Linked DNA regions of Diceros bicornis minor. The main gene of each other region encodes a partner of the protein of the gene in region 4 in a complex. Links are inferred from orthologs where the notes say so. Each region holds a gene or a part of one and is shown on either strand. Other genes may lie near its edges. The genes, in order: MICOS13, APOO, CHCHD6 and IMMT.

The links.
Region 1: IMMT (region 4) and MICOS13 share a complex: the UniProt entries of both Homo sapiens proteins name them as parts of the mitochondrial contact site and cristae organizing system (MICOS) complex. The link is inferred for Diceros bicornis minor from reciprocal best matches to the Homo sapiens genes IMMT and MICOS13.
Region 2: IMMT (region 4) and APOO share a complex: the UniProt entries of both Homo sapiens proteins name them as parts of the mitochondrial contact site and cristae organizing system (MICOS) complex. The link is inferred for Diceros bicornis minor from reciprocal best matches to the Homo sapiens genes IMMT and APOO.
Region 3: IMMT (region 4) and CHCHD6 share a complex: the UniProt entries of both Homo sapiens proteins name them as parts of the mitochondrial contact site and cristae organizing system (MICOS) complex. The link is inferred for Diceros bicornis minor from reciprocal best matches to the Homo sapiens genes IMMT and CHCHD6.

The regions. Positions count from the first base shown.
Region 1 is NW_026691615.1:2,511,128-2,517,543, reverse strand, and holds MICOS13 (MICOS complex subunit MIC13), read right to left. Parts: upstream 2,320-6,416; 5' UTR 2,221-2,319; coding exon 2,192-2,220; intron 1,514-2,191; coding exon 1,336-1,513; intron 1,142-1,335; coding exon 1,090-1,141; intron 740-1,089; coding exon 642-739; 3' UTR 507-641; downstream 1-506. Other genes in the region: HSD11B1L (hydroxysteroid 11-beta-dehydrogenase 1-like protein), read left to right, coding at 2,905-3,028, 4,597-4,713, 4,797-4,927, 5,570-5,681. UniProt on the Homo sapiens protein: Component of the MICOS complex, a large protein complex of the mitochondrial inner membrane that plays crucial roles in the maintenance of crista junctions, inner membrane architecture, and formation of contact sites to the outer membrane.
Region 2 is NC_080781.1:20,078,764-20,086,601, reverse strand, and holds the start of APOO (MICOS complex subunit MIC26), read left to right. Parts: upstream 1-4,819; 5' UTR 4,820-5,103; coding exon 5,104-5,112; intron 5,113-7,838. Other genes in the region: CXHXorf58 (uncharacterized protein CXorf58 homolog), read right to left, coding at 715-814, 1,844-1,959. UniProt on the Homo sapiens protein: Component of the MICOS complex, a large protein complex of the mitochondrial inner membrane that plays crucial roles in the maintenance of crista junctions, inner membrane architecture, and formation of contact sites to the outer membrane.
Region 3 is NC_080741.1:91,423,561-91,430,643, reverse strand, and holds the start of CHCHD6 (MICOS complex subunit MIC25), read right to left. Parts: upstream 3,003-7,083; 5' UTR 2,935-3,002; coding exon 2,848-2,934; intron 1-2,847. UniProt on the Homo sapiens protein: Component of the MICOS complex, a large protein complex of the mitochondrial inner membrane that plays crucial roles in the maintenance of crista junctions, inner membrane architecture, and formation of contact sites to the outer membrane.
Region 4 is NC_080751.1:3,826,061-3,833,976, reverse strand, and holds the start of IMMT (MICOS complex subunit MIC60), read right to left. Parts: upstream 3,005-7,916; 5' UTR 2,931-3,004; coding exon 2,886-2,930; intron 1-2,885. Other genes in the region: MRPL35 (large ribosomal subunit protein bL35m), read left to right, coding at 7,696-7,738. UniProt on the Homo sapiens protein: Component of the MICOS complex, a large protein complex of the mitochondrial inner membrane that plays crucial roles in the maintenance of crista junctions, inner membrane architecture, and formation of contact sites to the outer membrane.

The DNA.
Region 1 (6,416 bases), on a different chromosome or scaffold from region 4:
TCCCAGGGGAGCAGGGGACATCTCGTGGGCTGGGGAGATCCCCTGCACGGCCATGACCACCGGCCTGTGTTCCCCAGGAATCCCCAGGGGGTGGGGAGAGGGTGTAACAAATGTGGAGACCAGGCGAGGGGGGACTAGACTAGAGTAGACACGGGCAGATCAGTGAGCTGAGCAGGATGGAGAATCACTGCCCGCAGGGGCTCCTCGCCGTGTAGACGGCGAAGGAACCATGAATCCCCCGCTCCCAGACTGCCCCACCCTGGGCTCAGACCTCCACGAACCGAGACCCCCAACCCAGGCTGGGTTCCTCACCCCTCCCCAGGGTCCTGAGCACTGTCTACGGAGCACGGGGGCCAACTGTCTGCTCCCACTCCCCACATCAGGGGTGAACCACGCCTGCGGTCAATGTCAGGCCTGAGGAGCCCCCAGGAGCCAGAAGCCCAGCCCCTGTGCTCTGGGCGCCCACCGGGCCACCCTCCGCCCCGGGGGCGAGCACACAGGTCAAGGAACACTTCCGAAGTCCTTTATTGGGCCGGCACGGCCGGGAGCTGCCCTCGGAGTGAGGTCCCAGTCTGGAGTCTCCAGGTCGGTGGCGCCCGTGCCCCTGTGCCCGACAGGGGCGGGAGGCCCCCTCTGACAGGCTACTTGGCGCGCTCCTTCAGGTACTGCCAGCCCTCCTTGGAGTACTCGCAGGCCTTGGAGGGGGCCACCGACAGAGCCGACATCACTGTCATGATGCCTGTGGGAGGGAAGGGGGCCCACGCCTTCAGTCAGGGGGGGTCAGTCCACTCCGCGAGGCTCTTAGAGGCGCCCCCTGCAGCTCCGTCCATTCCACACGGGGAAACTGAGGCAGAGGAGGGGCAGGGCCTCGCCTTGTCTGAGGTCACGCCGCGAGCTCCAGTCCCATGTGGCTCCATCTTGCTCCCACGGCCCTGAAACCTCCAGCCCTTTCCCGCCTTCACATCCGTGGGAGACGCGCGCAAAACAGGAAGGGGAGAATGGAGAGGCACGGCCAGGAAGCCGGGGTGGGGGTGCTAGACTGGGGTAGCCGAGGCCACCCCCCCAAGCAGAGGAGCTCCCCAGGCCTACCTGAATTCCAGGACTCGCGGAGGTGAAAGTTAAACTTTGGGGGGGCTGGGAGCTGGGAAGAGAGGGGAGAAGGGGCTGGTGACAGAGGACAGGAAACCCCGGCCCCCCCGCAGAGGCAGGCAGAGCAGCACAGGCCCCCATTCAGAGGACGCCACGCAGGGCTGGAGGGACCAGGGACCGAAGGCCACCCCAGAGATGACAGCCACCCCCCCGCCAAGCCTTAGCCTCACTCGGATCGCAGGCTACCTGGGGCATCTTCAGGCCCGTCTGCTCGCACACGTACTGGCTGAACTGGTACATGGCCGGGGGGACCACCTCCTCCGCCTTGTGCAGGGCCGCCTGTGTCTTGTCGCTGGGCCCCAGCAGGTCCTGGTCGTACACCAGGTAGACTGCAACCCCGGCCACGCTGCCCTTGATGAGGAACCTGCGGGCAGGGAGGGGACACTGCTAGCCACCGTCGGGGGGGGGGTCCAGCGCCACGGGTGGGGTGGGGGTGAGTCGGAGCCCCTGGGGGCCCAGAGTGACATACCTGAAGCCAGGCAGCTAAGAGGGGAAGCACAGGGCACCCTCGGGGCCCAGAGGCGAGCCTGATACGCACAGCACTCAACTTACAGTGTGCAAAACAGGGCTACTCACCCCATTTAACGGGTAAACTGAGGCCCGGAGAGGGCCAGGGGGTCACTCATGATCCCGCAGAGGACAGTGAAGACTTAAGACCCCTGACCTTCTGCCTTCCAGCCCCGGGAGGCACGGCCCCGAGCAACCTGCGGGAGTGGTTTCTAAGCGTCCCTGGTCGCTTCCTATATGTCACAGGCGCTCTGGGCGCGCACGAACCTCCCAATAAATGCGTGCGCACCCCCATTTTGCAGAGCAGGCAACTGAGGCTCAGACGGGTCTGGATACAGAGAGTCGGGGGGGGCAAGGGCTCGCTGCGAAGCGACCTCGGGAAGCCTCTCCCCGCCTGAACCTCAGTTTCCCCGTCTGGGCCATGGAGACCTGACATTACGGAAATCGAAGAGCAGGTCGGGAGCAAACTGGAGGGGGGTGCCCGCGGGAGGGGACTTTCTCGGGGGCTCGGAGACTGCCCGGCGACCCCACGCACCTCATCAGCGACCACGCTCGGGACACCATGTTCGCTCCCCTCCGCGCGCAAGGACACCGGACTCGCCCGCCACTTCCGGTCGCGGCGCCGCAGAGGCCTCTGGGAGGCGTAGTCGCCCTTGTCAACCGCAAAGCCCTCTGGGAGTCGGAGTCTCGTCCCGGCTCCAAGACGCCAGAGAGGGTTGCGGCCCCACCGCGAAAGGACTCCGGGAAGCGTAATGGTCAGGGCCCGGCCGCCGCAAAGCTGTCTGGGAAATGTAGTCCGCACCGCCCCGTGAGGCACCCGACGTCTCCCCTAGCCCCCGACGCTCCTGGGAAAGGTAGTCCGGCGCGGCGCTGCCCTGGGGGTGTGAGGGGAAAGAGGAGTCGGATGTCTGGAGTGGGGCCTGAGGGTGACCCAAGAAGATGTCGGAGCCGGGGAGGTCCACCCGCGCCCGCGCGGGGGACTGAAGAGCCCGGGCTCAGGAAGAGTGTGCCTCCAAGCCGGTTGTCACGGCAACGCGGGAGCGGAATTGTGCGAGAGGGGCGGGGCCTAAGTCATATGATCGCGTTCGGTGGGTGGGGCTTCCCTCCAGGGGGCGGGGCCAGAGCCGCTGCTTGGTAGGGGAGAGCCCGGCGGGAGGCTGTTGCCCGGCAACGCCCGAGCGCGGAGTCCCTGCTGTCTGGTCCCTCCCACCCTCGAAGGTGGGCTGGGAATCACGTGATTCCGGCCTTATGGGAGGGGGCGCGGTCGGGGGCCAGGCCAGACGCCGCCGCGGAGGCCCGAGGGGCTCGCGCTTGGCTGCCGCGCCGGGACCCCACCCCCGCTGGACCGCGGGAGAAACTGAGGCTGGAGTGGGTGAGTGCGCGGTTGGGGTTTCATACCCCGTTTGTCCAGAGGGGAAACTGAAGCCCGGCCAAGTTAGGGAGCCGGTGGGTTCTGCGAGGATCTGTTTCCCCCCATTCCTCCCCCATCGCAGCCTGGCTGCTCCGTCCGTCCGTCCGTCCGTCCACCCACCCACGCACCCATCCACCCACCCATCCACCCATCCGACCCCTGCGGAGCTGCTGTGTCAGGGCCGGGGGTGGGAGGAGGGTTGACCTGAGGGGCTTCACGGACTTCCCCTGGAAGTGGGAGAGATGGGAGCTTGTTCCCTGGTGAAGGGACGGCTGGCGTGACTGGGGAAGGGCGAGGAGTTCACTTTTCTGAGAGCTCATAGACAAGAGTGGGGGAAGATGAGGATGGACAGGTGGGCGGGGACCAGACCCCTGGGCCCGTGGGCTGGGGTGAAGCGCTTGGTCTCCATTGGGGGCAGTGGCGAGCGCTGGGAGGGTCTGGAGCAGGAAGGGACTTGCCGGATTTTTTTTGACAAAGATCCCCTGGCTGCATGGCGAGGATCGGGTGGGAGGGACGCAGGAGGCAGGTGGAACTTTGCAGTGCATCCTCTGTCCCACCTACTTCAGAGGATACAAACCCCAAGATGTGATCGGCTTGTGCCCTTTTCAGGGGAGTTCCATGACCCCCCGAACTTTCGGTACCTGGCCTATTTCTCTTTTGCCCTCTCCCTGAGCAAGTAAATCGGCCACCACAGCTGAAGTCTTGTCTTAACCCTGATGACATGGGCTCCTCTGTCCCTAACCTAGCCCCGAGTGTCCAATTCCTTCTGGGTGTCTCCAGACAGTCGTCTTTCTGGGCCCCCCCCCCCACATTCCTCATATCCCTCTGTGTCAATCTAGTATCTATTGAGCACCAACTGTGTGCCTAGCACAGTTTTGGGAGCTGAAGACCCAACAGTAAACAAAACAGGTTTTCATTTCCTTCCTGCCCTCGTGGGGCTGACACTCTGGGGGGAGAGAGAGACAGTGATCACGTAACAATCATCAAGATGATTTTGTTGCTGAGAAGGAGATGAAAGTTCTAGAGGTCAGGGAGAGAGAGGAACCCAGAAGGGAGGTGCTTTAGAAAAGGAAGGCAAGGAAGCGCCCTCGGAGGAGGTAATTTTTGCTGCGAGACTTGAAAGAAGTGAGAGAGCAAGCCGTTGGGTTATATTTGGGAAGAGCATTCCTGGCAGAGGGAACAGCCAGTGCAAAGGCCCTGAGGCAGATGGTGACTGGCTGGTTCTGAGGAACAGCTAAGAGGCTGGTGTGGCAGAAAGCAGAGTCAGCAAGAAGGGCTGGTCTCTGCGGGGCCTCTTTGGCCATCGAGGAGTGTGGCTTCTGTCGGAAGGATTTTCAGTGGAAGAAGGCAAGATGTGATTGGGTTGCTGCGTGGAGGGAGAAAGCCCTCAAGAGGGAAGGGGATTGGTACAGCGGTTCAGGTGAGCTCTATGGTGACTTGGACCAGGTGGTGGCAGTGGAGATGGAGAAGGGGGCAGGGCCAGGAGCATCTTCATCGAAATTGGGGAAACGGGTGTGCCTGTGGGCCAGACCTGTGCGGCCACCCTCTCTCCCGCTGCAGACCAGGCGGGGCCATGAAGGTACTGCTCCTCACCGGGCTGGGAGCCCTCTTCTTCGCCTATTATTGGGATGACAACTTCAACCCAGGTGAGCGCCTGGGGTGGCGGACGGAGGACTTGGGCCGGCTGGCCTGTCCACCCTGTAGGCTGAGCACCTGTGCTCACTGCCAGCCAGCCTCCAGGGGGCCCGTGTGCTGCTGACTGGAGCCAGCGCAGGCGTCGGCGAGGAGCTGGCCTACCACTACGCACGCCTGGGCTCCCACCTCGTGCTCACTGCCCACACCGAGGCCCTCCTGCAGAAGGTGAGACTCCCCATTTCGAGTTTAATGGTGGGAGTGGGAGTGGGGAGGAAAACAAGGCCTAAGTTTGAATCCCGACAAGGATCCAGGCTTCCTGTGTGACCTGGGGCAAGTCGCTTAACCTCTCTGAGCCTTAGTTTCCTCGTTTACAAACAGAGACAATAAAAGTGCCTTTTCATGGGTTGCGATGTTGGGTTGATGCAATAAAACAGTGAGTATGAAGGAGGGAATGTTCCTCAATAAATGGCAGTATTAATAGTGTCCAGGGCCTGTGCCAATAGCCAGGGTTCTCAGCCTCAAAAGAGGGATGGTGGACATTTCTTAGCAATAGCCCGTTGATGCCCCAAGGAAATGTACAGCTCTTGGGGACGAACCTTCCAAAATTTCAAGAGAGGCCAGAAATCTGAGATTTACTTGAAATCTTCTGAGTTTTAAATGTTGGTGATTAAGCAAGTAAAATACCCCCTATTCTGGCCCTGAGGCTGCCAGTTTGCGACCCCAGTGGTAAAGCTTTCGGAATGATGGCGAATGAACCCCGAGGCCCAGAGTAGGGGAGGGGGCTTCAGGCTGGGGCCCCAATGGGCCCGGCAGGTGGAGGGGGGCCCGCTGGGGTGGAGGGGCCCACGGGCAGCTCTGGCCCTCCAGGTGGTAGGGAACTGCCGGAAGCTGGGCGCTCCCAAGGTTTTCTACATCGCTGCGGACATGGCCTCCCCCGAGGTGCCCGGGCGCGTGGTGCAGTTTGCGCTGGACAAGCTGGGTGAGGGGCGGGGCCTGGAGTGTGGGACGTTGGCCTAGGCCTTAGGGGCAGGACCCGAATTGGGGTGGGGGTGTGGTAGTAACAGACTTCTGAGGGTGGAGATTTATGGGGCCCTGGGCGTGGCTAAGGGTGGAGCCTTATAGCATCCAGGGGTCGGAACTCTGGACCAGGCCTCATTGGATCAGGGACCAAAGTCTGGCAGGATGTGGGGAGTAGGGCGGGGTCTCTTTGATCTTAAGTGGGGCGCTACCTAGGGTGGAGCTCATTGGGTCAATGCTCTGGCCAGAGCTTTGCTAGTCCAAGGGGGCGGGGCTGGGGCGGAGTCTCATGCGTCCCAGGGGCGGAGCCTCAAGGAGTAGCTCCGGGCTGACGGACCTCTCCCGGCCAGGCGGGCTGGACTACCTCGTGCTGAACCACCTCGGCTCCGCCCCGGCCGGCACGCGGGCCCGGAGCGCCCAAGCCACACGCTGGCTCTTGCAGGTGCTCCGCCCCTCCGCGGCCATGGCTCCGCCCCCTCGGCCTGGCTCCATCCCGCCTGTCCCCAGGCCCCGCCCCTCCGTGCCACGGCCCCGCCCCCTCTGCCATGGCTCCACCCTTCCAGGCCAGGCTCCCTCTCCAGGCCCCGCCCCACTGCACCCATGGCTCCGCCCCCTCTGGGCCCTGGCCCCGCCCTCACGGGCCAGGCTCCACCCCACCTAGTCCCAGGCCCCGCCCCCTGGTTCTAGGCTCCCCTGC
Region 2 (7,838 bases), on a different chromosome or scaffold from region 4:
TACTGTAATCATGGGTGATTTTATTAGAAGAATATTTGGTACTATATGCAGGAAGGCTTAATACTCTGCCAAGGTTGCCAGAATTGTTTTTTTGGGGAGTCGGGCAATATGCATCTTGTTTTGTTTTTTTTGTGTGTGTTTTTTTACTCAAATAGGACCATATTATTCATGGTGTTTTGCACTTGCCTTTTTCACTAACGAGATATCTTAGCTATCTTTCTATCACAGAATCATATGCAAGGCTGCAAGGTTTAACACTACGAAAGCACCAACACTTATTTAACCAGCATCCTATCAATGGACATTATGTAGTTTACTCTCTTTGCTGTTACAAACAATACTGCAATGAAATTGTACATATATTGTAGAATGAACTCCTAGAAGTGAAATTGCTGGGTAGAAGGTAAGGGTACTTTTAATTCAGAGATTTTTATTGTTGGAAGATCACTGTCTCACATCTTCAAATAAAAAAATCAAATTTTTAAAAACATCATACTGGTTTCAGAAAAAGAAATAATAGTCACCCATGTTAAAAATAAATCCAGAAATATTCATTTAGGGCTAACCGAAGAAGCAATCCCAGAACCCCATGCAATATTATTAGATTCAAATAGAAGAGATAAAAAAGGTTATATATTCTACTTTTACTTAACAGACCTTTTAGCTTAATAAGTAATTAAATCTGTCAGAGAAAACAAAAAGCAAAATACATACCGCTGCACAAATTGTGTGCTTTAGGAGCTGAAATATTGTTTTGTCCATATGAGCTAACCAAGCTCTCTGTATCGTTTGAGCTGAAATATCTTTATTAACTCTGAGAGAAAAAAAGAGGCTAAGATTTGTGAAATATTTTTCATTTTCCTAAAATCTTGGGGAGCTCTGAATTTATGCTTCCTCCTCCTGTACCTCCCCATCCCCCACCCTAAAGCTGACCTAATGAGGAACATTTGGATGTGGTAATTGGAACTGGTCATTTGCAGAATCTAGTCAGAATGAGGATATGAAATACTTGATATTTCCCTTGAGATCAAAAAACAGTCCTGGCTTAAACTTTATCATCAAAAGGCATATATATTATAAATAAAAAGTGTGAGGGGACAAACTTGTTTTCTAAAAACATCCATGACCTAAAATGATTCCATTATGGTTAGTTCTTAAAAACACTGTCCAACTAGTTCAAGTGCTATGAAAATAGAATGAGGAATAGTCAAAGTTACAGCAGGCCCCATTCTCTTCTGGGAGCAGATGACCGTGCTCTAGAAAAAGAAACTCCCTTCTCTGATCTTTGCTTGAACCAGGCTTATCCCAGTCAGGCCAGAGAATTATTCTACTTTTGATCATATCCCAGCACTGGCAGATTGTAGGGATCCACCTCTCTGAGATTGGCCCACCCTGTCACTACCCCTCATAGGGCTACATGCAAAGAGAGGTAGGTACTCCTGTATAACGTCACCGTTAGCTGGCAAAATGCAGACTACAAGATGTTAGAGTAAAAAAGGCCTGAAATATGGAAACAAATCTTTGAATCCCAGCTGATGCCATTTATTAGCTGTTTAACCTTCTGCAAATCACTTACCTTCTCCCACTTGCTGCTTCCTCATCTACAAAATGTAATAATAAGATTGCTTCACCGGGTTGTGTCAGGATCAAAGAGATGTGTGTTAATATACTTTGTAAATTATGAAATACTATAATTATAATAGTTATTATTCAATTCAAAAGTAATTTTAAAACACAAAACCTCTAACTTACAAAACAAGAAATGTTGGATGTTAGCTAGGTAAATACCGTATGGAAACTGTCCAGTTGTGGAAAATGATACAGGCGATAGACGGCTACTTACTCTTGTATTGTCTTTGTCTTTAAAATATTTGACGAATGTACTTTGCGGCCTTTTCCTGAAGGTGGATTATCTGATTTTGAAACACCAGTAACCAATGCCTTTGAGGAACGACTCATTTTCCTTACAATGGAGTACTCTGAAAGTACATAAATTAAGCATTTGAGGTCATAATCTATATTATTACACTGGACAAGACTCAAGTGCCATATGATTGTTGCACTAATTCCGGAACCCCTTAGAAAGGAAGGCATCGTGGATCTCTTAATGTTGCTTACAGTTTACATTGTCTGCACTGCAGCTGGAATGAACTTTTTAGAGCAATAATCCAACCTTATCACTCCCCAACTTAAAATCTTTCAGGGACACCTCATTTCTTCCAAACTAAAGCCCCAGACTCCTTAGAAAGGCATTCAAGTCTTTTCAAAATCTAGTTCCATTCTCTTTCAAATCTCAAAATACCGACTTTCATCAGCATTCCTCTCCATGCTCTGTGAGAACAAGAACTTCTTGCCAAAATCATTCAATGTTTTACAACTCTGCCGCTGATCATGCCACTTCCTCTACCTGCAATGACTTCTCTACCACCAGCAAACATCAATTCATCCTTCAAGACCCCAGTTAATTGATGCCTCTTCTCTGAAGTTTTTCACCTTCTCTTTTTTACAGAACTGCTCACTCCTGTCTCCAAGGTCCCATAATACTGTATATGTTTTTCTTTTACAGTACTTCTCATATCGCGTCATATTTGTTTTCTTGGCTGTCACCCCAACAAGCTCGCTGAGACATCAGGAGACATCTTGCTAACTATGGAATCCCCAATGCCTAGCAGAGAGGAGGGTTTTTACAAGCTTGTCTAAAAACTTTCCATCCGGTTTTATCATGCAATAGCTGTGTGAGTTTGGGCAAGTCCCTTAACCTCTCAATAGCTCAGTTCTCTCCTTGGCAAAATGAGAGGGTGTGTACTTAATGATCTGATTCTACCTCTTTCTATCCTTTGACACATTACTCCAATTTGGATGCAGCTCCCAAATTCTTAGTCTCTGCTTAGTCTCTTCTACTAAACCAGGGGCTCTTGATCTTTTCTTTTGGTGCCATGGACCCTACAGACAGACTCTAAGAACTATATACATATATATTTTTTTATAATTTTATTTTATTTATTTTCCCCCAAAGCCCCAGTAGATAGTTATATGTCATAGCTGCACATCCTTCTAGTTGCTATATGTGGGACACGGCCTCAGCATGGTCGGAGAAGCGGTGCGTCAGTGAGCGCCCGGGATCCGAACCCGGGCCACCAGCAGCGGAGCCGTGCACTTAACCGCTAAGCCACGGGGCCGGCCCAAGAACTATATATTTTTAAATGCATAACATAAAATACATAGGATTACAAAGGACTCCAATTATATTGAAATCATTCTCAAAATATTTTCAAAAATAAAATCATAGAAATGTGTCTTCTTTATGCACTCAGTAAAATGAGAGCTCTAATAACTACTGTACTTGCGAAGTGGTAATGAGCAGAAATATTTCAAGAAATCTGCCATGACTGTAATGTGATATGAAAATATCTGTGCTTTCTATTGATGACAAAGCCACAGAGACTGCTGATACTACTGTGGTTTTTGCCTACACTATAGTTGAAAGAGATGCTAAAGTTCAGTTAGAGGTTAGTGAAAATAAAGTTGTAAATTTTTCCCCATCCAAGTTCACGTACCCCTTGAATTAAGAACTCTTGCCTTAATTTATCACTATACTTCACACTTTTATATAAATAGGGCATTCCCTTACTTATGCAGAGCCTTCAGAGTCTACTCAATATTTCTCCTTAGGGATAGGGATGGGGATGGCTTGGAACATACAATTCTCTCAAGAAAGAGAGAAGCAGCCCTTAACACCCGGGAGCTGGCCTGGCACTCACAGCTGGGCTTCAGTGTTACCCCGGCTTCCCAACAACACCCAATCCAGAGCAAAGCCCCTCTTCCTTGAACTCACCCCAAAATCACCCAACCAAAGCCCAAATCCTATAATAAATCTTTGTAACACCCAATTACTGAGATGCCCCACTGTTTTCCAAGGTGTGGGTTTTCCTCGCAGCAATGAGAAATAAACCCAACTTGTTCAACTACAGATGTGTTCCCAGTGGTCTTTGGCTGGATGGCAGTGACACGCCATCACACAAATCCCCAAATTCTTCTGGATGCCCCCCTGGATGGATTTACACTTTTTATGGGGTTAGGATGTGAAACAAGAATGAAATATGAAACACACCCCCATTATGAGACACTATAATAATTATTTAGGCAAGATCACAGGCTTTAAAGGTAGACTACCTAGTTTGGATCTTGGCTTCCCATTTTCCTTCTGTGTGGCCCTGTAAATTACTTCTCTGTGCCTCAGTTTCCTCATCTATTAGATTGGGAATAATAATCGTGCCCACCTACTTGGGTTGTCGGAAAGATTAGATGAATACGTGCAAAGAGCTTAGATAAGAGCTGGGCACATAGTAAACTGCCGTGTTAGTGCTCGCTATTCTTGTTCATAAGCTGATTACTGTCATTATTACTTATTTCTACTAGTTTTAAGGGACCGACATTTGATTCTCAGTGAGGGGCATACGCTTAAGTATTTTAAAGAGAAAAAAAGAGATCAGGGCCCTTCGAGACTAAAGGACGTGACAAATTAGTTTAAATTTAAAACCTCAGAAACGTCCAGCCCACAGTAAAAAAAAAAATCGGAAAACCTTTTGCGAGGTGAATCCAGGCCCCGAGGTCAGCGGCTTCCGGCTGCGAGGCTTTCGCAGCCGCCCGAGGCCCTCCGAGCGCCCTCGCCCGGCGGCCTCGGCGCACAGGATTCCCAGCCCACGCCTCTGGGCGCCCAATAGCGGCGGCGAAGGCCGATTCCCAGTGCTGTGCCGCGCCCGGCGCCTCGCTCCTCGCGCCCCCGCGTGCCGCCCACACTGAGCTGGCGCTTTCCTGCCGCCTAGCAACCGCCGGCTCAGGGGCGGAGCTTCCTGGAGGGCGGGGCTTGTGTTTTTTTGGGCCGGGGCGCGACGCTCTGCAGCTCCGCGACGCCGCTTCCAGCCCACGCTTCCGAACTACGCTTTCGCAGGATCGAATTGGCTGTACGGCCGGCCGTCATCCGCACTGCGGCCCGCCTGCAGTGGGAGGAATCAGGGCCCTACCCGGCCGCCGTATCCGCCTCTCTGTAGTGGGCGGGGCCGGGGCCGGGGTGACCCCGCCGGAACCGCCGCTGCCAGCAGCATGTTCAAGGTGAGAGCGTGGAACCGGGTCGCAGCTGTCACCGCCCCCTCTCGGCTTCCCGGAGCCCTCCTCGAGCTCTTGTGGGCCTCTCCGGGGACCAGGCCCGGCTCGTCCCGAGGCTTTTCCCGCCTCCGGACCGGCTGCGTCCCAGCCCCGCGGTTCATTCACCTGTCCGCTTGGAGCGAGCAGCTGCCGGGCGGAGGCGTGAGACCCCGGGGTGGGTGGGGGAGCTCTTTTGGTCGTGCTCTCCTTAATAAAATACTTTAAAAAGTTAAAGTACCCCCCAGAGTCTCCACCCTGCCCCCCACCGGCTGGTGCTCTCTTGGGTTCGTGGGTAGGGTGAGGCCAGCTCAAGGCACTGCAGGGTTCGGCTTTGGTTGCCTGGCAGAGTCAGGTTTCAGAACCTGGTGTGTGAATGGGGGAGGGTCAACTTTGGAGAAGCTGCTGCAGGGTGTAGGGGAGGCTGGCATGGGAATGGCTGGGTGAGGGGAGAAGCTGGAGCTTTGCTCTCCTCCCCAGGAAGCATTATTTAGTATGGACAAGTCGACCCTCTTTACTTTTATGAACTCGTCGTCTTTGAAAGAAATTGATTTTTACAGTGAAGACTTTGTTCGAAAATCTGCATTTTAACGTGAAGCCATTATCATACCACTTTAAAAAAAATGATATTTTCTATCACGAAGAACAAATCACAAGCTACCAGAAATTAGTCTACAAAATTGAGTCTTCAAGAAGCATAGAAACCATAAAATAATGCTAATGGAATTTCAAAATTGTACTACTCATTTAAAAGTTTTATTGAGCTCCTGCAGTGTACTTTGGGCACATTAGTACAGGTTATAAAATCGGAACATGGATTGTCTTCCAATCTTAGCATCACAGCTTTCTAGCTGTGTGACCTTGGGCAAGTCACTTAACCTCTCTTTGCCTGTTTTCAAATAGGTGAAATTGGGGGGACTAGCATCTTCCTCATAGGGTTGTTATAAGGAATAAAAAAGTTAGTGTGTGTAAGGCACTTGGAAGAAACCCTGGCACATAGAAGTGCCATCTACGTATTCGCTTTTATTTTGTTCTCAGGAAGGTCCCAGTTTAGTCAGGATGACAGAGCCCAAAAGCAATTTATGTTCATTTGATAAATTTGTGTTGAACGCCTATAATGTGCTAGGAGCTCAGCTCAGTTTTAGGGTTGCAACAACAAAGAATATGCTGTGATCAGTTGACATGGGTATCAACAATATACCATGTTGGTAAAAGGGAGAGCAGGATCTGCTCTGCCTAACTAGGGGTTCTTATCCTGTGGTCCTCAGCCCTTCAGAGAGTCTGAATAGAATTCGGGGGGTTCCTGAACTCTGATGGGAAAAAATCTTTATTTTCACCAATCTCCAACTGAAATTTAGCATTTCTTTCAGTTATAAATGTAGGTAACTGTTTCAGTTATCTTGCTGCATAGTGAACCACTGCAACTCAGTGCCTTGAAACAACGATGATTTATTATTTCTCACCATCTGTAGATTGTCTGGGCAGTTCTGCTGCCATCCCCCCGTGGCTGCATTTAGGTGGTGGCTAGGCTACAAGGTGGCCTAACTCCCATGTCTGGGAGCTTGGTGCCCCTCACTGTGCCTAACTTGGGCTTCCTCACATGATTACTGGGTTCCAAGAGGGCTAGTCCCAATGCCCAAACACCTGCTTGCATCACATTTGCTGATGTGAAAACAAGTCGCATGGCCAAGCCCAGAGTCAGTATGGTGGAGGACCACATCAGAGCATGGATATGAGGCCGTGTGGTTCACTGGGAGTGATTAATTTAATAAGCTACTACAGCAACAAACCACAGTAGTAGTAGCAGTACCTGTCACCAGTAGAAGTCACAGGACCAATGCATGTCACAGACATTTTCATATTGCATTACAGGTGTTGCAGATCTCAGAATATCATTTATGCTCATCACTACTTCAAAATTACAGTAGTTATAAGACTCACTCTTAGATCTTTTTATTTAATGAGCTAATAAGCACATATTACTATATCAGATTTGGGGTTTAAAAAATATCTTTATAACTATTGCAATAGGTGTTTTATGGAATTAGAAGCATTATTTTGAGAAGGGGTCCATAGGGCTCACCAGGCTACCAAAGAGGTCTATGGCACAAAAAAGGCAAGGAACCCCTGGGGACTTCACGGGAGGCTTCACAGAGGAGACATTTAAATTTAGTTTTGAAAGACAAGTTGGAGTTCCTCAGGTGGAGGAGTTGGGAAACATTAGCAGTGGTACTCCATTGGAGGAAGTGCCAGTAGCTCAGTTCTCCTGTGTCACGGGAAGATACAGTGAACTGAAATTATCTAAACGTAGTTTGAGTAGAAAAAAATCACAACAAACCTTGGTGGACAACAAAATGTAAGGAGTAGGCAGAGGAAGAGGGAAGGCCAGAGATGTTTGAGAAGCAAATTTTGATAAGTAGCAGTAGGAGCACAAAAGAGTGATGTTGAGAAAATCAAGAGAGGAAAGTTGCACGGAGGACAGCCTATGTTAAGATGCTTTCAACTAGGAAAACAGTTGCTTAAATAGTAAGGAAAGTTATCTCACCAAGTCCAGGGGAAGTGTAGACTCCAGTGGGTCAACGATGTCATCAAGGACCTGGTCTCTTTTCTTGGCTTTCCATAGTAAGATTGGTTCCCCTTATGGTTGCAAGATGACTGCCAGTACACATGCTTTCCCATTCACTAGAGCAAGAGAA
Region 3 (7,083 bases), on a different chromosome or scaffold from region 4:
TGGATGTTGACAAGCAACAACTTTCAGCTGAATTACCAAAGTGGGCTGCTTACGTGGGGTGGAGAAGAGGAAAAGTGGACATACACAGGACGTTATTGCCACGTGTGTACCCTCTCTTATTGAAGGATGAGGTTAAACATACTGGTTGAAATGAAATCTTTATGTATAATTTCACACATGCTTGCTCTGAAAACTGGAGTTTAATATAATTGCAGCATTTTGCATTAATTAAATTTCTTTTACCTTCCATGGAATTAGGGCTTGAACTTGATATGTAAATTTATGCAAATAAGTGTGCAAACTAGCAAGGCCCTGGTATTTAATTTTAAGGGAACTAAAGCACTTTCCAGGACCAGGCCCAGGGGATTAAATACAAGCGGTCTTTAAGAATATTTAACTTTCTCTGAAGGAGCTGGGGCATTTTGTTTAGTTTCTACCTTCTATTAAACTAAGTTCTCACTGGTTCATTCAATGATCTCTTCTACTTATTTTTTCCACTTGTCTGCTTAAAGACATGGTGGACTCCCCAACCCTCAAAATAACTTTGCTAGCAGAAAAAGCCCCTACACCAAAACACTTCATTGCAATCGCCTCCTTTCTCTGATCTCCTTCTCTGAAACCAGGCACACAAGCAGAAGGAAGAAAGGAAGGGGCTCTCAGAGCATGGGGCCGCGCACCCACTGTGTGCCTCTAGACAAGTCATTTATTCTCTTTGATGAGTTTGCCCAGCAGTCAGTCACCAAAACTCCCTCAAGTTTTAACAGTCTGGAAGAACTAAGTGGGCACCAGCACCCTGTCAGGACAGGTAGAGGCTTTGTCACAGAATGTTCACACTGCCTTGCATATCACTAGGAGGAGGGAGCTTAGAGTAGTGAGAAAAGGCTGTTGCTCAAACCCAAATATCTGGATTAAAGTCCCAGAAGTTACTCAGGTAACACTTTGGAAAAATTTCTTAACCTCTGTAAGCCTGATTCTCCATCTTAAAAGAGAATTTATACTTTGCAGAACTGCTAAGAGAACTAGAAATAAAATGTACCTGTCTGATATAGCCAAAAAAGATGTTCATCTGTGAACTTAGAAGTCACCTTCGAAGGGACTCTGACTGACCTATCTTTCCAACATTCCCAAAAGCAGGATACCAAGTGACAAACGTGGGAGAGCACCCAAACAGAGTCAAGGGTATCTTCCTAAATTCCAATTCAGGCTCCTGCCTCTCAATCTTCCAATGCGGTCCATCTCCTCCCTATTTTGTCGTTGCCAAGAGCCAGGTCAAGACTAGATAACACCTAGCAAGCACCAAACGTGCTAAGTACTATGCTAAGAATAGAGGCTCCCACAAAACACTCTACTTTTTCTAAACACCTCCACACGCATCTTCATCTTATCTGAGGCAGCACCTAGGATTATCACACCCTCCTCCCATTTTTTTAAAAAATGTGGTGATTGAGATTCAAAAGATAAGTTGTTCACCTAAGGTCACAAAGCTAATGAGCATCTGCCCAGGAGTTAGACCTCCCGATGTCTTTTTCTCAGCCACCTCCCTAACTAATTCACCAACTCTGTGCATTCCATTTAAACTTGGCCCCTGTTTCACTGGGTTCATCCATTTAATTACTCAACAATTATTTACAAAGCACCCACTATGTCCCAGGCACAGGTGCAGGAGGATAGGAAGCATTCAATGAACAGGCCCTGAAGTTGGCCTACTTCAACCCCAACTAGCCCACTTGTTACCTAGTGACCTTGGATGAGTTACTGCATCTCTTAGTGCCTCAGCTGTCCTTAATCTATTAAACTGGCTAACAGAAATCTACCTCTTGGCTGTTGAAAATGTGAGGATACCTGTAAAGGGTTTAGCACAACGCATGGCTCCCACTAAGCACTCAAATGTGAGCTGCTTTTATTAATTCTTCTAAGTTCTGGGGTTAACACTCAGGAACTGGACAAGAGCCTGAGCCTCAAGGAGCCTACACTGTAGTGGGAAACACAATAAACAAGTTAATTATCAATAGACGTTTCAAATGGCGATGAGTACTATGAAAAAAATAAGTGTGACAGTGCAGGTGGGAAGCTACTTTAGATCGAGTGGTCAGGCAAGGATGTTCATATAATATTTGAACAATAACGATAAGATCTAGATATTAGAAAAGCTGGGGAAGAGAAAACAGCGAATGCCGAGATTGTGTGCTTGGAGCAAGCTGGCACCTTACAGGGACAAGGAAGACCTGAGGCTAGTGAATAGATGGGGGGTGGGAGTGACGGAGCTGGCATGAGATGTGGTCGGAGAGGTCAGCAGCACAGCTTTGTAAAACAAGGTAGGCGGTTCCTCTTCAGTTTAAATGCGCTAGGGATCCAGCGGACGGTTTTAAGCAGGGGGAAGGGTATATGATGATTCACAACTGTTCAAGTGCCCCGTGGCTGCGGTGCTGAGAGGCTGTGGCAGGTGTCCAGGATTGGAAGCATCCTGTATACATAACAAGATGCACGCACCAGGGCGGGGGAAAAATTCAGGTCTGTGACAAGCCACCCGGAGCTGGAACGTGGCCTCCCCACCTGTCCCGTTCTCCACTCCTTCTCCCCGGGGCCAGCCTGACGTCAGGGTGGCGGTGAAACCTTCCAGCGGCCACTCCCCGGGCGGGGACCCCGGGCATCTCCGAGCCTCACGTCCTCTTCTACACGGCGGAGGGACAGCCGCTCGCCACCAGGGAGCCGGCAGGGCTCACGGGCGAGGCCGCTCGCCCTCCGGCCCGCACCTCCCTCACCCGCCCGGCCTCCGCGCCCTCGGCGCCGTCCGCCCGCCCGGCCCAGGTCGCGCTCGCTCGTCGCGCCCGCCGGCGGCCCGCTCACCCGGATGCCCTCCAGCACCCGGACCCGCTCCTCCTCATCCATGCCGAAGGACACCCTGCGGCCCTCGCTGCTCTCGGTGCTGCCCATGGCAGGAGGCGGACAGGCAGCAAAGCAGCCACGCGCCCCAGCTCGGAGCACAAGCAGACGCCGGGCCGCGTTCCCTGCGCGCCCCGCACTTCCCAGGACTCGGGCTGCCGCGGCACAAGCCAACAACACCGCGTCCTATTGGCCGCTGCCGGAAGCTCAGCCAATCATGTGGCGCGGGCCTGCGAGGCATTGTGGGAGCTGTAGTCTCACCGCCCCGGCTGCCCTTCCAGAACCAGCCTTCTCCGGGAGGCGTGGTGGCTGAGCTGCGGGAAGCGTGTTGGAGGGAAGCGGAGAGTGGGTGCGGACGTGGAACCTGGAGTGGCAGGCTAAGGAGCACGACGGAGATGGTTGCTCGCTCTGGAAAGACCACCCTGGAAGCAGAGCCAAGGGTGATGGTGTGAGGCCAGGACACCGCCGAGGAGGCTGAGCCGAGCACGTGGAGGCGCACGTCGGATGGTTCCCTGATTGGTTCACTCAGCAAACTGGTATTGAGCAGCACTCACTAAGCACCGGGCAAGCATTGACCTAGCCGTGGGGAACACAACGACGAACACGACATATCCTGCCTTCCTGAGGTTTAGATATAATGGAGGAAGCAAATGAAAAGACAAACAAGCGCATAAATAAACTTACTAAGTGCCATAAACGGAAAACAAGAGCATCACGAGGCCATGAGAGAAATTAATAGGAGGGGGTATCCTTTAATTTGAGAGGCCAGAGCAACCTCTCTGAGGAAGAAGCATTTGAGTTGAGACCTAAGCACTAGTAGGAGTTAGCCAGGAGAAGCTGGGGAAGAACTTTGCTGGAGACCAACCAGTGCAAAGGCGCTGAGGCAGGAAAGACCTTGCTACGTTCACGGCCCAGCTACGGGACTGGAGAGTGAGAAAGGAGCAGAGGAGAGCCAGAGGCAAAGAGGTCAGAGGAACAGGAAGGACCCAGATCACGTACGGCCTTATAGGCGAGGGTCAGAGTTTTATTTTGCGCCTAGGACAATTCCCCAGCAAAGGGGGCATCTGTGAGCTGTCGACAGCCACACCCACAGTGGCTGGGGATGGCCTCACCAGCTAGTAAAAAAATCTGGGTGAGGCACCTTCAGCACCCACTACACGCTCCAAATAATTTTCAAGGTCTACCAGACACCCAAATGTCATATGTGACCATGTGTGTGGGGAGAGGGTTGTAAAAATTAAGAAAAGGGCTGGATTTCACTTCTGGGTCAAATGACGAAATAATTAACACACTGAACTAACTCAGCAAAACAAGAGTCAGAGCCACAGGTGACCATGAGACTGTGTGTGGTCTCCCCCTGTGTGCAAAATCCTGGGAGAGAATTGAAACCTCCCGACACTTAGAGTGGGCGTTATACTCATGGCAGCATAGCTGAGCCTCCTGACAACCCAGCCAGTTCTGTATCCCCATTTCACAAACAAGAAAACTGAGGCACTAACAGGTGAAGATAATGTGACATTATAAATCCAAAGTAGAATGAGGATTTGAGCAAAGCCAATGGCAGAGGAAAGCAGAGGAGAAGAGGGGAAGGGAAATGCATATATTTTGAGCACTTTCTTTGTGCCAGGCTCTATGACACAGGCACACATGCTTTTCATGCAGTTAATCCATGGCCAATTCATTTAGTTCTGGAAACCATCCTGAGAGAGCTGTCACCCTGTCCTAAGGCCCAGGACACTGAGGCTTGGGGAGGTAAGATGTTGTGACAGGCCCACGAGTTGCTGCCCAGTACCCATCCTCCCTTTCCTTACAACAGAACCCCACTTCCCTTTGGTGCAGCAATGTGCCTGGTTAGAAAAATTTGCCTCCTAGGCTCCCACTGGCCAAACTTGGGACAGTTTAAGCATTATAACAATTTGATAATTTGAGCTTATAACACATTTAGTTTTTTTTCGAAATCCAATTGTCCATGTGTTGAAAGAGAGAGAGGATGGAAAAAAAAGGAAACCTCTTCTTTACAAAAGAATACCAGCAAATAAATGTGAGATTTAAAAATTGCCATTTTGCAACCCTCCATGAATTAACTGAATCAGGTAAAAATCATCAATGGATACTAAAGCTATTGGGTATAGCTTAGTGATCGTGTATAGCTAGCTATACCCAATAGCTAGTGATTATTACATAAGCATTTACCCTTTACTCATCAATTCTGCGTCTAGGAATGTCTTCCCAAAATGCAGTGATAACAACATGAAATAAAGTAGGTACATATAAAGTAATCAGTGCATAATTTGTAACAGCAGAAGATTGGGTATAGCTAGCTATTGGGTATAGCTCACTATAAGTGATTGGGGAACAGGGTGTTCACCCAACCTCCCAGTCTCACCGCAAATGCCTTAATAGCTACCAAGGGAAAACTGTGCTACAATGACAAGACTTGGAAGTCACTGCCTTAGCCAGATGGCCAAATTCAGCATTGTGAAGAGTGGGACAACGTGACGTGATGGCCCTCCAGATGCGATGCAGTAAGGAGCACACAATATCTCCTGTGGAGTATTGTTGTCAAAAATATGTGACCAGAAGCCAATCATGAGGAAACAATAGGCAAATCCAGAATGTGAAACATCCTGCAAAACAATGGTCCTGAACTCTTCCAAAAGGTCAATGTCATGAAAAACATAACAAAACACAAAACAAGGAAGTTTAAAAGAGATGAAAGAAGCATAACAATGGAATGCAACGGTGAATCTTGATTAGATCTGGATTAAAACGATAACAGCAAAAACAAGAACGAGGGTATGAAAAGGTAATTGGGACAACTGGGGAAGTTTTACATGTGGAATAGTGTCCTAGATGATATTATTGAATTAATGTTAATTTTCTTGTTCTTGGGAGATGCATGCTGACGTATTTAGGGGTGGAGTGTTATAGTTTCTGCAACTTGCCCTCAAAAGATTCAGAAAAAAAATGTTAACAATAGGTGAATCTAAGTGAAATATATATTCGAGTCCATTTATTATTATTTCACTGTTTTTATGGGTTTGAAATTTTTCAGAATAATAATTAGGAAATAAAATAAAATTCTGCACCTGGGGAAAAAATACTTCCCTCCCCAGACTCCCTTGTGCCTTGCAGCTGGAAATGACACTGTGGCCTACCTCTGGCCAAGAAGGCTCTTGAGCGGTGACGTACCCAGAGAAGAGCACAGCGCTGAAGAGAGCAGTGAGATGTGGCGATGTGAGATCGAGTGCAGGGCTGAGGTCTGCCTCCTAGACGTTTGCCTCTGGGCAAGTTATTGAATCTCCTTGCGCCTCCGTTTTCTGACGGATATGAGAGTGGTGCTGACGTGACATGGAGTGCTTGCCCAGAGCTCCGCACTTAGTGGACTCATTCAGTGACAGCTGTTATTGATGCTGGCCCTGATATCAGTTCTCCTCCATTAACCCCAGCACATATGGGGTTAAAACCAAAAGCACCCATCCCCTCTCCCTGCTTCTCCAAGTTGCATTCACATGTAAATATCGCTTTCTTTAACTTCTGTATTCTTGAAGTTTATTACAGGGAAACTGATGTCTAGCGAATATCAAGAAGCTGAAGCTTCCCAGACCCCAACTCCTGGGCTTCCTGGCACCAGAACCCACCGTCCATCATGGAGACAGACAACCAAGGACACCCACCTGCAGATTCCCTCATCTCACCATCTCCTTCCCTGCCAGCAGCCTCACAAGGTAGAAAGCAGGCTGGTGGGAAGGCACCAACCTGCAAGGCCACAGGCTCCCCCTCCCCTGCCTAAAACCTCAAATAAAAACCCCTACCTTTTTCCCTTTGAGGAGGTAGATCTCAGATTTAGCTCCCATTGTCCTCATCTGGCTAACCCTTTCCTTGCCATGAGCCTGGCATTCCAGTTTTTATTTTGGCCCCTCTTGTGTGATCGGTAAAATAACCTGTGTTTGTGTCCGGTAACATTATTACTGAAAGATTTTATTTTTGGAAATAACAGTTTCACAACCAGTATTGAGGGTTGTTTGGAGGGGGAGTTGTGTCAGGTAGCTTCTCTTAAATTGGGTTCTCCAGAAGCAGAGAAGAAGAAAAGAAGGGCTGGTAGAGTAGACAACTAAGAAAAGTAATTTGCTTTTGTCAATGTTAAAAGCCAGAAGGAAACTTTCCCCCAAGATCAAGAATAAGGAGGTCGTCTGGGGC
Region 4 (7,916 bases):
GACAATTTCTTACAAAACTAGACATGCTCTTACGATGTGATCCAGCAATTGCACTCCTTGGTTATTTACCCAAAGAAGTTGAAAACTTACATCCATACAAAAACCTGCAGAGAGATGTTTACTGCGTCTTTATTCTTAACTGCCAAAACTTGGAAGCAACCAAGATGTTTTTCAGTAGATGAACGGATAAACTGTGATACATCAAGACAATGGAATATTATTCAGTGCTAAAAAGAAATGCGTTATCAAGCCATGAAAAGACATGGAGGAACCTTAAATGAATATTACTAAGTGAAAGAAGCCAATCTGAAAAGCCTATATACTATATGATTCCATCTATATGACATTCTGAGAAAAGCAAAACTATGGAGACAGTAAAAAGATCAACGGTTGCCAAGGGGCGGGGTGGGCGAGTGATCATTATGTGGAGCACAGAGGATTATTAGGACAGCGACAATACTCTGTATGATACCATGATGGATACACGTCATCATACATTTGTCCAAACCCATAGAATGTACAACACCAAGAGTGAACCCTAATGTAAACTACAGACTTTGGGTGATCACGATACATCAATGTAGGTTCATCAATTGTAACAAATGTACCACTCTGGTGGGGGATGTTGATAATGAGGGAGGCTATGCATGTGTAGGGGCAGAGAGTATATAGGAAATCTCTGTACCTGCCCCTCCATTTTGCTGTGAACTTAAAACTGCTCTAAAGAAATAAAGTCTTAAAAAAAAAAGGGAGATGGGAAGAGAATACTTTGGGGGTATATTTAGAGGTCAAGGAAGAAGCAAACTCAACAAAGGGAAACAAGAGAGAAATGAAATGAAGGGTAAGATGGGACCCAAGGTACTACACGAGAAAAGCCACAAGAGCAAAAGGGGTTTCACAAATCAACAACATCAAATGCTATAGAATGACTGAGGAGATAGTAAGAATAAACCAATGAATTTTACAAGACAGCAATTTCAGGGAGGTAAGAAATATTGGTTGCAGGCTAGAAAAGGGTTCATATTTTAGTAAGAAGTTTTAACCAGTTTTCTTCTAATTTCCTAATCAAAATCTCAATAAATGGAAAAAATTTTGATGAAGACAAGGAAGGAAAAAGTAATTTTGGATTGTAGGGCAGACAGAGGGGACAGATCAGTGACAACCATAATGTAACCTGAGGTCAGAGCAAGGAAGAGTGTGTCATGAAAGGAGGGCTCCAAAGATAAACTTCAACAGTTCTCCCCTGCAAGGCAGCTCTCTCCCTCCATCCTTCTACCCCCACTTGACAGGATGGTAGGCCAGATTCTAAGATGGCCCCATGATCTCCAGCCTCTGCTGTTAGCCCATTATTACAGTTGTATGGCAAGAGGCATTTTGCAGATGTATTTCAGATTACTAATCAGTTGACTTTGAATTGGGGTTGAAAAGAAAGGTCATCCAGGTGGGCCTGGCCTAATCATGTGAGCCCTTTAAATCTGGGTGTAGAGATCAGAAACAGGGAAGTTAAGAAAGATTTTGAATCAGAGAGACAAGCTCCCAGTAGCCAGCAAGAAAGCAAACATCCATGTTATGAACTGCCTCTAAGGACCTTGTGGCAAGGAACTTCACGCAGCCTCTAGGAGAGGCAAGGCGAGAGCTAGCAAGAAAACAGGGACTTCAGTCCTACAGCTGCAATGGCCTGAATTCCGCCAACAAACCACATGAGACTGGAAGAGGACCATGAGCTCCAAATGAGAACTACAGCACAGCCAACACTCTGACTGCAGCCTTGTGACAATGAGCAGAGAACTCCAATCATTCATGCCCAGAAACTATAAGATAATAAATAGGCGTTGTTTTAACCTACTAAATTTGTGGCATTTGTTACATAGCGATAGAAGACTAATACAGACCCCACTTTCCTATGGAAAAGGCTGTTTCTCTTACCCTGGCAACAAATGGAGAGATAAGCAAATCTAAAAAAAAAGAAAAAAAAAAAAAAGGAAGTTTGACTTTTATGATTTTTAACCCATTGTGTCTAGAGATTTTGTCCAATTACTGCTTAAGTCACAGTACCTGTTTTCCAATACAATATTTTGCCAAAATATCAACTTTCTTTAAATTGTGAGCAATGGAAACAGGTTTACCTTTTTATTTTTAATTTTGGAAAGTTACTTTAATAATTATGCATAAATAAATGTAACTGGGTGTTTAGGTTCCTTGAACGTCTGCCAAAGATGTCTCGGCACCTAGAGACACAGATCCCCAGTCTGATCTCAGAAATGAGAACAAGGTCATAACTCCTGACTTTCCTCAAGTACCAGGAGTTTGAGCCCCATAAACTACCATCTTCCATTTTTGTTTAGAGTAAGAACAGCTTTTCTCGGCTAGGAAAAGAAAGGTAGTCCCTCCTGGATAATTACAACCTTGACCCCTACAACGCGGACTCGAGCAGTTCAGCCACCTCCTTATTAAGATAAGCCAAGGCCATGCAAGTCCTGCTGGGAACTGTAGTTCTCTCTCCTCGACCTTCAACCACTGCCTGCGCTAAACCTATCACGCGCCCAACCGGCGACCCGGGCGCCAGCAGCCACGGGCCTTGACTGGGGCAGCGCGGGGCTGATTGGATGAAACGTCCCCGAAGCCTTGCCTCCCGTCCTACGCCCGCCTCCCCGCCACCTTCTCTCCACACCCCAACCCGCTTCTGCAATAACCCTCAAGTCATCCCTGTCGCGCGAACTCCCGAATTAACTGCCTCACAGGCCCGCCTGGTTCTCTCGCAATGAGGGCGCCCCTGAGACACGCCTCTGTCCCGGGGCCCAGGCAGAGCCAAAGCCTCCCCCATTTTCCGCTGGTTGTCTGCGATCAGCCTCACCACGCGCTCTCTCCCGGCGCCCCGCGCTCACCTGAGCGGCGGCGGTCACGCCGGATAACTGACAGGCCCGCAGCATCTCCGCACGATGGACGGCGCTACCAGCGTACGCGGGAACAGCCGCGGCGCGCGACTAGGGGAGGGAGTGCGTTGCGTGCGTGCCTGCGTCCGTGCCGCCTTTCCGCGCCGGGCGTACCGGAAGAGCAGCCAACGCCACTGCGCACGCGCAGCCTTCTCTCTCGCCCTCCGCAGGCAGTTCGGACAGGGTGGGGCCTCCCCGGCGGAAAGGACGATTTCTCCTTCCGGGTCGCTCGGGGTTCCTGGCTGTAACCCAAAGTCGGGGTTACTAGGTGAACGGGAGGGGAGGGAGGGCGTGTGATACTCGGGCTTCGATCCGCCCGGAAAAGGGATTGGTGTGACTATTTGGAGAATGCGTGCAAGAAAGCATCTCAGCCGTCACTGGCAGCTGGAAATTTCGTAGAAGGGAATCGATTTGGCCAGAGTTACGTGAACAACGGTGGTGTCTGGGTTTGCCGTTTGTTTCGTTTGACGGCACTTCTTAAGGGAGTCACCCACTTTTCGGGAGACTGGGTGAACGAACACAGGAGAGACCTTAGTGCGGAGTGTGTCATTCACGTATCTAATAAATGGCCGAACGGGGATAGGAACCTAGACTCTTCGGGTTCCACAGCTTTTACTCCTTTCAAATTAAACCAGACTACTTCCTCCACCAATTTTTTATTTTAGAATGATAATTTTGGCTTTAGTCTGTGGGATGGGTTGGAAGATAAGGAGGTCAGTGCAAAAGCACTGTTCAAATTATTCCACTGAGTCTATGATTAAGGTATCACATGTTAAATATTAAACACAGTATTCAATACTATTAGTATTACTAATGATCATCATCAAAATATCATAGAAACTAAGTGACTTGTATATCTATTGTGTTTGCAAAGTCCTTTCAAGTCTTAACTAGGTTATGTATTACAGTATGGTGTTCTCCTTAGAGGTAGACAATGCTACTGATCCCATTTGTAAAATGGAGAAATATATTTGAAAGTTATCTAAAATCAAATAATTCCTTATGTTTGTATATGTTCAATGCTTTTTAGGGTACTTTAGTAATTACATTATACTCTCTAATTCATATCGCCATGGCCTAATAGCCTCCAGAGCGGTTTCCGTCTAATTTTAGCAATTGCATTGCCGTCTCCCCACTCCATCCCTGTCCACTGCTGTCATGCTGAGTCATGCCAGGGTGATGACTTTTCTGATAACTTGGCCATAAACCTCTCGATGCTGCTGTGCAATTTCAGTCTGCTCCAGCCATGTATGGCACAGCCACACCTTGCACATCATTAGCAACTTCTCCGGCTTCAAGATCTCAAACTCCAAAATTAATTTCTATAGTTTCGTAACCTCTCATTTAACCAAGTCCTAAATCTTCATCCTCCACGTGCAATTTATGAAAATTTTTTTGCTTTAAAATGAACTCTCCTAAAGTAACTCAGAAATTGAAGGCACTCCCCTGTTCAAAAATGTGCAGTGACTCCCACTGCCAATTCAAAGAGCCTTCATAAACTGTCTCAGTACTTTTGCAGCATATGTGGATGTTTAAGGCCCAAAGTGGGGGCTGGCCTGGTGGCACAAGCAGTTAAGTGCGCACACTCTGCTGCGGTGGCCCGGTTCATGGGTTCGGATCCTGGGTGCACACCGACGCACTGCTTGTCAAGCCATGCTATGGTGGCATCCCATATAAAGTGCAGGAAGATGGGCATGGATGTTAGCCCAGGGCTAGTCTTCCTCAGCAAAAAGAGGAGGATTGGCAGATGTTAGCTCAGGGCCGGTCTTCCTCACAAAAAAAAAAAGGGCCGGCCCCATGGCTTAGCGGTTAAGTGCTTGTGCTCCGCTACTGGGGGCCTGGGTTCTGATCCCCGGTGCGCACCGACGCACTGCTTCTCCGGCCATGCTGAGGCCACGTCCCACATACAGCAACTAGAAGGATGTGCAACTATGACATACAACTATCTACTGGGGCTTTGGGGGAAAAATAAATAAATAAAATTATTAAAAAAAATTAAAAAGGCCCAAAGTGGCCACACTACGTGGGAAGGCAAGATAGCAACAATAGCATCCAAGCTTGTCACCTGCTTGTATACACTATAATCCAGAGAAATAAAATATAACCATCTCAGTGGTTCCCAAAGTGTGATCTGGGACTCTCTGGTGAACCTGAAACACTTTCAGAGGGTCCATAAAATCAAAACAATCTTCATAATATTAAGATATTATTTGCTGTTTTCACTCATTATCTCATAATTGTACAATAGAGTTTTTCCAGAGGCTACATGACAAGTGATATCGCAACAGATTGAATGCATGAGTGAACTTCAGAATCCAGCGTTCTATTTTTTTTTTTTTGTGAGGAAGATCGGCCCTGAGCTAACATTTGCCAATCCTCCTCTTTTTTGCTGAGGAAGACTGGGCCTGGGCTAACATCCATGCCCATCATCCTCCACTTTACATGGCAGCCGCCACAGCATGGCTTGCCAAGCCGTGCGTTGGATGCACGCCCGGGATCTGAACCGGCGAACCCCCGGCCGCCGCAGCGGAGCACACGCACTTAACCGCTTGCGCCACCAGGCCAGCCCCCAGCTTTCTATTAAACCAGACCTTAAAGAGATTTGCTAAAAGGTTAAACAATAGACTCTTCTCACTAATTTTTTTTAACTGAGAATAGTTATTTTTCATAAAAATATTTATGTTAACATGTAATAGGTTTATAATTGTTTTTAAATGAATTAAGTGCTGTAGGCAGAATAGTTATCAGCAAATATGTCCACATTCTCCTAATGCTTGGAACCTGTGAATATGTTACCTTACGTGACAAAAAAAACTTTGCAGATGTGAGTAAATTAAGAATCTTGAGGGCTGGCCCCGTGGCTTAGCAGTTAAGCGCGTGTGCTCCGCTGCTGGCGGCCCGGGTTCGGATCCCGCGCCCACCAACGCACCGCTTCTCCAGCCATGCTGAGGCCGCGGCCCACATACAGCAACTAGAAGGTTGTGCAACTATGACATACAACTATCTACTGGGGCTTTGGGGGGAAAAAATAAATAGATAAAATCTTTAAAAAAAAAAAAAAAGAAAGAATCTTGAGGGCCGGCCACATGGCAAAACGATTAAGTGCGAGCGGTCTGCTGCTGGCAGCCGGGGTTCAGATCCCGGGCGCGCACCGAAGCTCCGCTTGTCAGGCCATGCTGTGGTGGCGTCCCATATAAGGTGGAGGAAGGTGGGCACAGATGTTAGCGAAAAGAGGAGGATTGGTATGGGTGTTAGCTCAGGGCTGATCTTCCTCACAAAAAAAAAAAGAATCGATATGGGGAGACTATCCTAGATTATCTGTGTGGGCATAAAGGTCTTTATGAGTGAAAGGGGAAGGCAGGAGGGTCAAAGTTAGAAAAGGAGATGTGACAATGGAAGCAGTCATCAGAGTGATGTGATTACTGGCTTTGAAGGTGGAAGGAGGCCACAAGCCAAGGAAAGCAGGCAGCCTCTAGAAGCTAGGAAAAGCAGGGAAACAGATTCTCCCTAGAGCCTCCTGAAGTAACACAGCCCTGGACCTTGATTTTAGCCTTATGAAACCCATTTTGGACTTCAGACTTACATAACTGTAAGATAATAAAATTGTGTTGTTTTAAGCCACTAAATTCGTGGTAATTTGTTATAGCAGCAATAGGAGACCAATACAATAAGTATTTTACATTTTTCTCCATTTTAATTTCCAATATAGTAAATAATAATAGGTATAATACATAATTAAAAGTTCCTTGGGGTCCTCAATTTTTAAGCATGTAAAGAGGTTCTAAGACCAAAACGGTTAAGAACCACTGCCCTAAATAAATCCTGCGTCCTTCTGTTTTGGTTCCCTCTCTCCTCACCTTAGCTCTTGGTGTTCTTACTGCCAAGACTGACCTTGTCCTTGTTAAAATCATCCCCATTCTTTAAGACCCATTTTATATTCTACCTCCTCATCCCTGATCACTCCAACCAGAAGCCTTCTCTCCTTAACTTGAACTGCCCCTATTAGTTATTTATCTTCCTTGTATTCATGTTCTGTACTTGTCTCCATATTAAAAGTGAACTCCTTAAGATCCAGTGTTCAACCCTTACCCATTTCAACCAGTAAATAGTGTTTATAGTAAATGCATGAAAAATCTTAGGGGACAAGGATGGGAGAGAGATTTGTTGGTTTTTTTCCTGCTTGAACATTAGAAAAAAAATGTATGATCACTAATTCTCAGGAATAAAATAAGGAACATAGAATTGTTCAGGAAGAGTTGAGATGCTGTTCTACAAATGGCAATCAGTGTTACTGCGTAGAAAAATGTGTGCGCGCGCGATATCCTTAGGATATTTACATTCATTTGATTATAGTGGCATTCAATTTTTTTAAAAAATTACTTTTAATAACATTGCTATTTCCCATTCATTTAGCCTAACATCTACCAGCTTTGGAAGGATAATAAGTTTTATTATCTCAAATAATAAAATGAGCAAAAAGAATTGTTTCAAGTATGTTGTGTACTTTAAATGTATTTTTCAATCAAATGCTCAATAAAAATTTGAGAGCCTACTATATGCCAGGCACTATTCCATAGGCTCTTGTTTTACAGCTTGTGAAGGACAGCCTGGCATAGAGAAGACATTCAATAAAGGTTAACTTGACCGTTCCTTTATTCATTTTTTTCCCCCTGCCTCCACGCCCTCCGAATTCCTTTCCCTAATTCCCTTTTGCCGTGAAGCTGTTAGACCCAATGCGGCTGCCGTAGGGCAGGGTAGCAAGATGGCGGCCTCTGCCTTTGCCGGTACGGTGAGAGCAGCATCAGGTCAGTGGAAAGCGGCGTGCTCGATTTATGCCTTCACAGAACGGGGAGCTGGCGCAGGATACAGTGGGCGTTCAGCGTGGAGGTTATCGGGGGAAAAAAAGGGGGGGAGGTCGTTATTTGAGGTCAGAGGGTTGTTCCAAAATTTCTCCAGGGCGGCCTATATTCGGCCTCCCGCACC